Arabidopsis thaliana: one gene and its partner. The protein of the gene in region 1 interacts with the protein of each later gene in a pairwise test. Each region holds a gene or a part of one and is shown on either strand. Other genes may lie near its edges.

Region 1 (4,832 bases):
AACTACTCTTCGTTTTGTAAGGTTATAATATGTTTGGTTTAGTCCTTATCCCAGAAACTTGCATTTTGCCAAACGAGTCAAGACCTTACCGTTAAATCCTTCTAATCTTAGTATAACGTAATTACTCATAGTTGATTAGTTCATAAATTTGTAAAGATCAGTCCGAAGAGTCGACATTTTTCATCAAGTGTATCATTGACATTTTAAAAAACCTTGTACAAAATGAATATTTGTGAGTCTAAAAAGTACCTTAATAGTCAATTGGAAATGGATTGGGTTGAGCATAAGGCAAATCATACCAGACCTTAGAAATTTCAAAAGATAAATAAAATCTAGAGTCTACCTACTTTGTGTGTGTATATATTTTTATTGTGCTATAAATTTTGTGATGAATATGAATCAAAATTCTTTCTGAATATTTCGTGATAATGGTTCCGTCAATATCAAAATTTACTACTGAACATATATGTTTTAAAATATTTAACTGGATTTTAATTCATAAAGTTTTTTTTATTTTTAATTAAATTTAGTTGCCGTGGAAAAAGTTTAATCTATAGTGTTTTATGTAATCATTGTAGGTAATGTTCAAAAAATCTGCCTAGACACCTATCGAACTGGATTTTAATTTATAAAGTCTTTTTATTTGTAAGTAAACTAGTAGGCAGCCCGTGCCTTGCACGCAAAACAACAATACCAATAATATATTTCGTGTCTTTGAAATTTGCAACAATTACACAAATGACGAATATCACAACCTCACAAAATACAATGTGTATCACACATTGCTCTATAACTCTCAATAAAAGTCCTATTCAACTTTACTCAAATTGTAAAATAATATATGTGTTAAAATTAAGAAAACTTTTATTGGAAACAGCAAATAATCTTACATAAATACACTAACTTATCTCATAGATATATAGAAAAAAATATATATATATATACAGAGCCGTTTTTTCTTCTCAAAAAACTTAACAATAATAATGATGGAGAAATGAATTACCTTCTAACCAAAACGCTTTTCTAAACTTGAACATATAAGATGGTTTCACATTTAAATTATTTTGCACACTACACCGTGGAAGAAGATGTCATGTCATGCCACCCATCTCTCAATTTGGTTATCTTCTTCTTCTTCTTCTTCTTTTTCTGAATTGAAAGCCCCAAAACATTTGCATCCATTTTGTTTCTATATGATTCTCGCAAACTCATGTGGTCATTTTGTAGCAGCGGGTGTGCATGGAAAATGTAAGAAGATAAGACCAAGTAAAACGCAACAAAACGGCCAAAGGTTTATTGATATTCATACCAGCGATTGGGTGGACCAAACTCAGTGAGTCGTGAGGGGTTAACAGCGTCCATCACATTAGGTATCACAAAAGTCTCAACTTTCATTATTTACGTCATTCTTTCGTTTCTCTGGTAGACGTATTTAGATGAAAGAATGGAGGATCTAAGATTATGAGAAAGGAAAGAAGAAGAAGAATTTAAACCTGTTTTTATCTTCTTGAGAATGGCTTATACGGTTGCTCTTGAGATCGTAAATTAACTGGCAGAGGGTTTGAAAGATGGGAGAGAAAGTAAAGAATCTTAATAACGTGGAAGAAGTAGTTGCTGAAAAAGTGGTTAAAAAAATTTAAATTTATCTTTTGTCAAAAAAGAATATTCTATTGAATAGTAAAAGGAAGTGAATTGGTTTACGATTGTGGAAGTGCAAAATTTTAGACTTAAAGCATACGTGTCAAAATGAGAAGCTTACAGTTTTTTTAAAAGTGACTGTTGATTTAGTATTATTAGATTTAGTTGCCGCGAAAAAGTTTAATATATAGTGTTTTATGTACTTATTATAGGTAATGTTCAAAAAAATAGCCTAGACATCTATCGAACGTCTAGCTACCGTACAACGATTTTTTGAACATTGATTATAGGTAACTAAATCTACATATACATTTTTGCCGCCATTTTGTGAAATAAATCTTAGAGTTGGAACTTATTTATAATGGCTGCCACTAGCTTTTAATTATTGTTTTTTTTGCAATAAATTAATTAACAAGCAAAAAAAATTCCAAATATATTCTAATCCCATATATCACGCAGATTTCTCCAAAATTGAACTAAATTTCGGTAACTATTTAAAACAAAAAATGTTTGACAAACCAAAATACAATTGCAATCCCTTAAAATGAGCAAAATGCACCTAAATACATTTCTTATCAATTCACTAAATCTAATTTCTCCAAAATTTGAATTAGATTTCGACAAATATTTTTAAAAAAATTTGTTTGACAAACTAAAATACAATTGCAATCCCGTAAAATATTTATTTTAATTATATATTTAAATTAACGGTGTACCACTGGGTTTTTTTACGGGACGAGTTTGGCGGAACGGGTTTGAAAGAACGTTACTTAATAACAATTGTAAACTATAAAATATTTTTATTTTATAGATAGATATAATTTGCAAACTTTTATATATACTGATTTAAAAAAATAAATTATTTCTACGGTATAACGCGGGTTAAAATCTAATATTTAGATAATTTTGAATATCCAATATATATGTTTAATTGTTTATAGTAGTAATAATTTTTTTCTGCTATTGTTGTAATAAAAGAAATCTCTAAAACGTTTTAGTAGGAAAGAAAAAAAACGTTAAATGCATAGAAATAAAGTTGGGCAGTAAAAGGAAAACAACAAGACCTAATTAAGTTTGACATATATAACTCAGGCGGCTATTACATCTATAAATATGGGTAATATATCTATCTTGCTTCTACTCTCTCTTTTCACTTTTTCTCTGTGTCTATTTGTCTCTCCGTAAGAAACATTATGCCTTCATCTGATTCCACGATGATGAAGAAAGGAACAAAGCGCAAAATCGAAATAAAGAAACGAGAAACCAAAGAGCAACGAGCCGTGACTTGCTCTAAACGCCGTCAAACTGTTTTTTCCAAAGCCGCCGATCTCTGTCTTATCTCCGGTGCTAACATCGCCGTCTTCGTAACCTCTCCCTCCGATAGTTCCGATGTTGTCTATTCCTTCTCCGGTTACTCCTCTGCCTACGAAATCGCTGATTGTTACCTAAATCGCAAGCCTCCACCCAAGATTGTTAACCCGGCCGGATCCAAACTAGGATTTTGGTGGGAAGACCCTGATCTCTACCATTCGTGTGATGATCTCTCTGAGTTAAGCATTATCGAGGATCGTTTACAGAGAATGAAGAAGCATGTGATGGCTTGCCTTGAGAAGGAAGAAAAATCTCAACTTGTTTCTAGTTTCGACCAAAACCCTAATAGTACTTGTTCTCTCGACGTCGAGGATTGTGATGGATCTTCTTATTCGCAAATTGCTTCTACTTTTACTCCAAACTCTGTCAACGAGTATTGCAGCGATCAAACCTTTTCTTCTTTCCATGGCGATCAAAACCCTAACCTCTCGTCTCCGTCTTTTGATCAGGACTGTTACTCCTCTCTCTATCAGATCTGTGGAGAATCATCTTCACAAGTTGCTTCTTTTGATCAAAACCCTAGCTCCGAGATCCAAGGATTTGAAACAGAGGAAGAGATTAACCAAATCAATCTACTACTACAAGAAACACAAACAGAGGCCAATGTCAATTTGGATGATGAGATCTGCTTTTGGAATGATCTATCCAACGATGATGTGTTTGGTCTAAACAGCTACTTCGGTCTCGATAACACCAATGCAATGATCAACTTCGGAGATTCCGACTTTAGACGTCATGTCTGATATGATGTGGTTGTAATCTTCAGAACTTGTTCTGATTTTGTCTCATTGTAAACAGAGATTCTTGATCCAATTTAAGTTTTTGTAAACCTTTTTTCCTTTATTGTTTGATACTCTGATGTGAACCCTTTCGAAGTTGAAAGTAAATTGTTTGAATCAGTTTTGCAATTCCACTTACTAGTTTGTTGATGTTAAATTCAAGTTAGTGATTTGAATTTGGATTCTCAGAAAAGAAGAACACAGTTTTTGGAGCTTTTGCTTGTAATTTTACATGAGTTTTAGCCTTTAGCTGAACACTTTTTGATTCCTTAATGGTCATCTTGTTAGGTGATGTGTTTGAACTTTGAACAGAGTACTTGAGATTAATTTAAGATTATGTATGTAACGTAGATTAGATGAACATATTTATACCAACATTTTATTAAAAAAGTAACTATAATCATTTTTCGAATTAGTAATTAATTTTATAGTTTCTTTAAGGTAATCATATATTTTACAATTTGTATATTAAAATTAGCAGATCAAACTCTGTTTTTGATAGAGAATAAATAAACTTTGTTTTTGATAATCTTTTCCCTTAGAAGTAAGGTCGGTTATTTTGACATCTTTAAAAATTAATTGTATAATTCTTTTTAGAAATATACCATTTTAAGAAAATAAGAATAGTTTTTTTTTTAAAGGTTTTTTTTTAGTTTTTTGTGAAAATTATATTTTCACATGTTTTTTTTCCGTAACTTTTTAATAGAAAATCATATATTTATTTTCTTATATATATAGATCGTCGATTAAGAATCTCGAACCCTTATAGCAAATTCGTTGCTCCTCTTTTTTTCTTTCTCTAACGCAGCAGCTTTGCTTAAATCCTCTTAGGTATTTATTGAATCTTTCTCCGTTGTCAGTGGAACGTGGCTTCCAAGTATTAGTTTTTGACTAAGTATAGTTCTGACTTTGAGATGTTGAGTTGATTAAAGGGTTTCTCGTAATCTTAAAGATGCTCGTACTGTTTGAGACGTCAGGTGGTTTTGCACTCTTTAAAGTATTAGATGAAGGAAAGCTCTCTAATGTTGAGGTTATTTACCTTAT
Region 2 (4,767 bases), on another chromosome or scaffold:
TCGAGGCATTTATTACAAAATATGGTTCCGCCTCTGCGCATACACTATACATAAAATTGGAAAAAAAAGTTTTAACGGATAATATGATTTAATGTCGTTACACATCCCAATGCAACGGATCGAAATAGAATGCATGTGTTTATTCATTTCATTTCGTATATGATATCGTAAGGGAGTTCATATACTCACTAACAAGACAAAACATTTCTTGACCAAAAGAAAAAAAAGATTTCTTGAATAAACATTTTGTTACTATAATGGCGATAGTCATAGGTTTACTTGAAATCTTCACAGCATTTGTTTTCTTCATTTTCTTCCAATGTTTATTACTCCACAAGAAAACTCCCAAGCCTTTGCTCACGAACTGGCCGGCCCTTGGGATGCTTCCGGGTCTACTCCTCCAAGTGCCTCGTATCTACGACTGGATCACCGAGGTTCTTGAGGCGACAGATATGACGTTTTGTTTCAAAGGTCCATGTCTTAGCGGAATGGACATCTTGCTTACTGTTGATCCGGTGAATATCCACTACATTCTAAGCTCAAATTTTGCTAACTACCCCAAAGGAATGGAGTTCAAGAAGATCTTCGAAGTCGTGGGTGATTCAATTTTCAACGTTGACTCGGGTTTGTGGGAGGATATGAGGAACTCGTCTCATGCCATTTTTAGTAATCAAGATTTCCAAATGTTCTGGGTGAGTACAAGTGTAAGAAAATTAAGGCAAGGGCTTGTTCCTATTCTTGAAAACGCAGCTGATAAAAATATCCTTGTCGACTTGCAAGATTTGTTCCAGAGATTCTTGTTTGATACATCTTTGATTTTGATGACCGGGTATGATCCAAAATGTTTATCCGTTGAAATGCCTAAGGTTGAGTTCGGTGACGCGGTCGATGGTGTTTCTGACGGGGTTTTCTATAGACATGTTAAGCCGGTTTTCTTGTGGAGGCTCCAATATTTGATTGGTGTAGGAGTAGAGAAAAGATTGAAAAGAGGTCTAGCGGTATTCGATCAACTACTCGAGAAGATCATAACGGCTAAACGAGAGGAGATCAATAGTCATGGGACTCATCATCCCTCAAGAGGAGAGGCCATAGACGTGTTGACATACTACATGACTATGGACACGACCAAATATAAGTACTTGGAACCAAGTGATGATAGATTCATCAAAGACACTATTTTGGGTTTCTTGATAGCGGCAAGAGATACAACAAGTTCAGCACTCACTTGGTTCTTCTGGCTTATGTCCAAGAACCCTGAGGCAATAAACAAGATCCGACAAGAGGTTAACAAGAAGATGCCGAGGTTTGATCCCGCAGATTTAGAAAAGCTCGTGTATCTACACGGTGCCGTGTGTGAGACGCTAAGGTTATACCCACCAGTTCCATTTAACCACAAGTCACCGGCAAAGCCAGACGTACTTCCAAGTGGGCATAGAGTAGATGAGAAATGGAAGATTGTCATATCTATGTATGCATTAGGGAGGATGAAATCTGTTTGGGGAGATGACGCAGAAGATTTCAGACCAGAGAGATGGATTTCAGACAGTGGAAGGTTAAAACATGAACCTTCATATAAGTTCTTGGCGTTTAACGCCGGTCCAAGAGCTTGCTTGGGGAAAAAGTTAACGTTCTTACAGATGAAGACAGTGGCTGCGGAAATCATACGAAACTATGACATCAAGGTCGTTGAAGGGCACAAAACCGAACCAGTTCCTTCTGTTCTTTTTCGTATGCAACATGGTCTCAAAGTTAATATCACTAGGATCTAGTGATAGTTTTTGTATTTTTTTTGCTGTTAAAGATTTCAATAAAACATGCATGTTTACTCATGCTTAGACTTATTTTGCAAACACGTCTTTAATTTGTATCAGTCATTTGCCTTATAAGAGTCTCTATTTCATAATAACATCACGGTTTTACAATAGCATGTGCTCACATTTTGTGGTCTTTAGAATCTGATGTTTAGTTACTAATATTTTTTTTGGCAGCTATGGTTTGTATTATTGGACCCTTCCCCACAGTTATAACACCCAAAATCGATAACACACATAATAGCATGTGTCTTAACGAAACAAAAAAAATAAAATAACATTACTTTCACTGTTTAGCCATAACATTACTTTCTATCCAACTGATATTACATGTATTTTAAATTATTTATTAATTATGTTTATATAAACTATTAACATATAGAAAAAATTTAGAGATTGAAGAAATATCTTAAATTACCTTTGATGTAATTTGTTTTCCTTTCAATGGACTTCCTAAATAAAGTATAAATCTCATTAGATATGTGATACAACTGTTTTCCTATATATCTTGTTTTTATATATGCCCCCCAAAAGGTAAAATATCTATATGGGCTGTCTCTAAAGATAAATGATTATCACTTTACCATCAATCACATGCCTACACGTAAGGGTGAAACTAATACAAATCCTGAAAAATTAGTAAAATAAAAAATCAATTAATCATATCCAGCAAAGCAATAAAAAATCTATTGACTCGAAAATTGACTATATAAACCATCCTCCTCATGCTAACAAGACAAAGCAAAATACACAAAAGAAAAAGATAAGAGATATGAGGGGGAAGATGAAGTTATCGTTCATAGAAAATGATTCAGTGAGGAAAACAACATTCACCAAAAGGAAGAAAGGGATGCTGAAGAAATTCAACGAGCTAGTAACTCTATGTGGTGTTGACGCATGTGCGGTCATCCGTAGCCCGTACAACTCGATCCAGGAGCCTTGGCCATCAAGGGAAGGCGTTGAAGAAGTGATGTCGAAGTTTATGGAGTTTTCGGTGTTGGACCGGACCAAGAAGATGGTGGATCAAGAGACGTTTTTACGTCAAAGGATCGCCAAAGAAACAGAACGTCTCCAGAAGCTACGTGATGAGAACCGTAATTCTCAGATTCGAGATTTAATGTTTGGTTGTCTCAAAGGAGAGGTGGACGTGTCTCATCTTCATGGAAGAGATCTTCTTGATTTGAATGTATTTCTTAACAAGTATCTCAATGGTGTTATTCGTAGGGTTGAGATCCTTAAGGAGAACGGTGAGTCTTCTTCATCTGTACCTCCTCCTATTGGTGTAGCTCCTACTGTTGTGGATGCATCTGTCCCAATCGGTTTTGATGGTCGTATGATTCAAGATCAAAACCAAAATCAGCAAGAGCCGGTTCAATTCCAATACCAGGCTCTTTATGATTTTTATGATCAGATTCCAAAGAAACTTCATGATTTTAACATGAAAATGAATATAGATCCAAATCAGAGTATGAATTTGGATCTTAATGATGGAGAGGACGAGGGCATTCCTTGCATGGACAACAACAACTACCACCCCGAAATCGATTGTCTCGCTACCGTCACCACTGCCCCCACTGATGTTTGTGCTCCTAACATCATCAATGATCTCTAGTCGAAGGGATGTATTTCGAGTGAAGTGGTTGATCATCTGCATCTTTTGATTTTTCCATTTCAGAAAATAAAATTTATGTGATGTTTTTTTTTATTATTGTACTACAGTTAAAGGTTTTGCCTTTAAGTTCATTTCCGTTGATGTATTTGCCTGAAAAGGTTTAGTTCAATTTGAATAATTTTAATCATTACAAAATAAAGAGTTTTCAGTATCTTTAGAAGAAACAAATCTTTAGATATGATGTCATTAAAAACCCTATAATATCTAAAATAGCTTTGATTAAGTCAACTTTCTTTGTTTTGCCTATATATATGCTATGGCTATGTCATGTTTTCGTCTTACTTATATTTGAACTAAAATGATTATGAATGTTATTGCCATATTTTTGTTGGATTCAAATGTTGATCACAAAAAAGAAAGGATTTCAATTTTGTGTACCATGCTATTTCAAGATGTTTCTAGCAAATTCTCAACTACGTAGTTTAGGTGACCACTTGTGAGACCTTTGCATACTTTGGCACACATAATTTTCTAATGCATACCTCATCTATGAGTCGAGAAGACGTCCCATGGGAATAAAAAAATCGAAGACAAAAGTACATATATAGTGCTGACCATTGTGGATCTCCTGATGTACATACTCAGCCGTAATTGGTTTTAACTTCAGTAGCTTCTGCCACGTTTTGGAACCTAGAGTAGAATCCTTACCATCCTAACAGATAATATATTGTCGGAACCGCCCATAATAAACCCCCACGAAGTTAGTAGTTTCCAAATTAAGCTTAAGCTAAACAACCGTGACACATGAATACGTTGGAAATGAAGCCCTCATTCCTTTTTAGGAATACACGCTTCTTTCAACATATTGGCACGCTTGTGGAAAAAAACATAGAATAGTAGAAAACCTAGCAAGATACGGCCATAAAAGAAATTAAGGAATCTTAAAAATCTCTTCTTTCACATTGTTTCCACACTTCCCCTGCTTTGTTGTTTCAGAATTGAGACACGTTGTACAAGATTTTTGGATCAAAAGACTCGCAAATATAGTTAAGTTTATTTATGACACCTAAATTCTAGTCCAACAAGAATTTGCGTGATCGCAAATTTTGATAAATTTGTGTGCTTGTATTATCTATTTTATCCAACGGAAAAAGATTCTTGATAAATAATATCTATCGTTTTCGAAAAACTTTGTTTTTCATCACTGAGTTTTTAACATCGAATGCATTAATTTCATGGAATGCTTTTTTATCCCAACATGATAGAATTGTAATTTATTACTTTGTCAAAGTTTTGGAACGTTAGACTTTGCCATTCATCCCAAGCAAGTGGGAGGGTGATATC

What was found. Proteins that work in one complex are often made in the same cells at the same time.
Region 2: the proteins of AGL39 (region 1) and PHE1 interact in a two-hybrid assay, tested with the Arabidopsis thaliana proteins (one large-scale study listed by BioGRID).

The regions. Positions count from the first base shown.
Region 1 is NC_003076.8:9,543,802-9,548,633, forward strand, and holds AGL39 (AGAMOUS-like 39), read left to right. Parts: upstream 1-2,745; 5' UTR 2,746-2,831; coding exon 2,832-3,752; downstream 3,753-4,832. Other genes in the region: AT5G27140 (NOP56-like pre RNA processing ribonucleoprotein), read left to right, coding at 4,741-4,818.
Region 2 is NC_003070.9:24,265,137-24,269,903, reverse strand, and holds PHE1 (MADS-box transcription factor family protein), read left to right. Parts: upstream 1-2,567; 5' UTR 2,568-2,583; coding exon 2,584-3,423; 3' UTR 3,424-3,647; downstream 3,648-4,767. Other genes in the region: CYP96A3 (cytochrome P450, family 96, subfamily A, polypeptide 3), read left to right, coding at 258-1,769. UniProt on the Arabidopsis thaliana protein: Probable transcription factor involved in the development of gametophytes and seeds.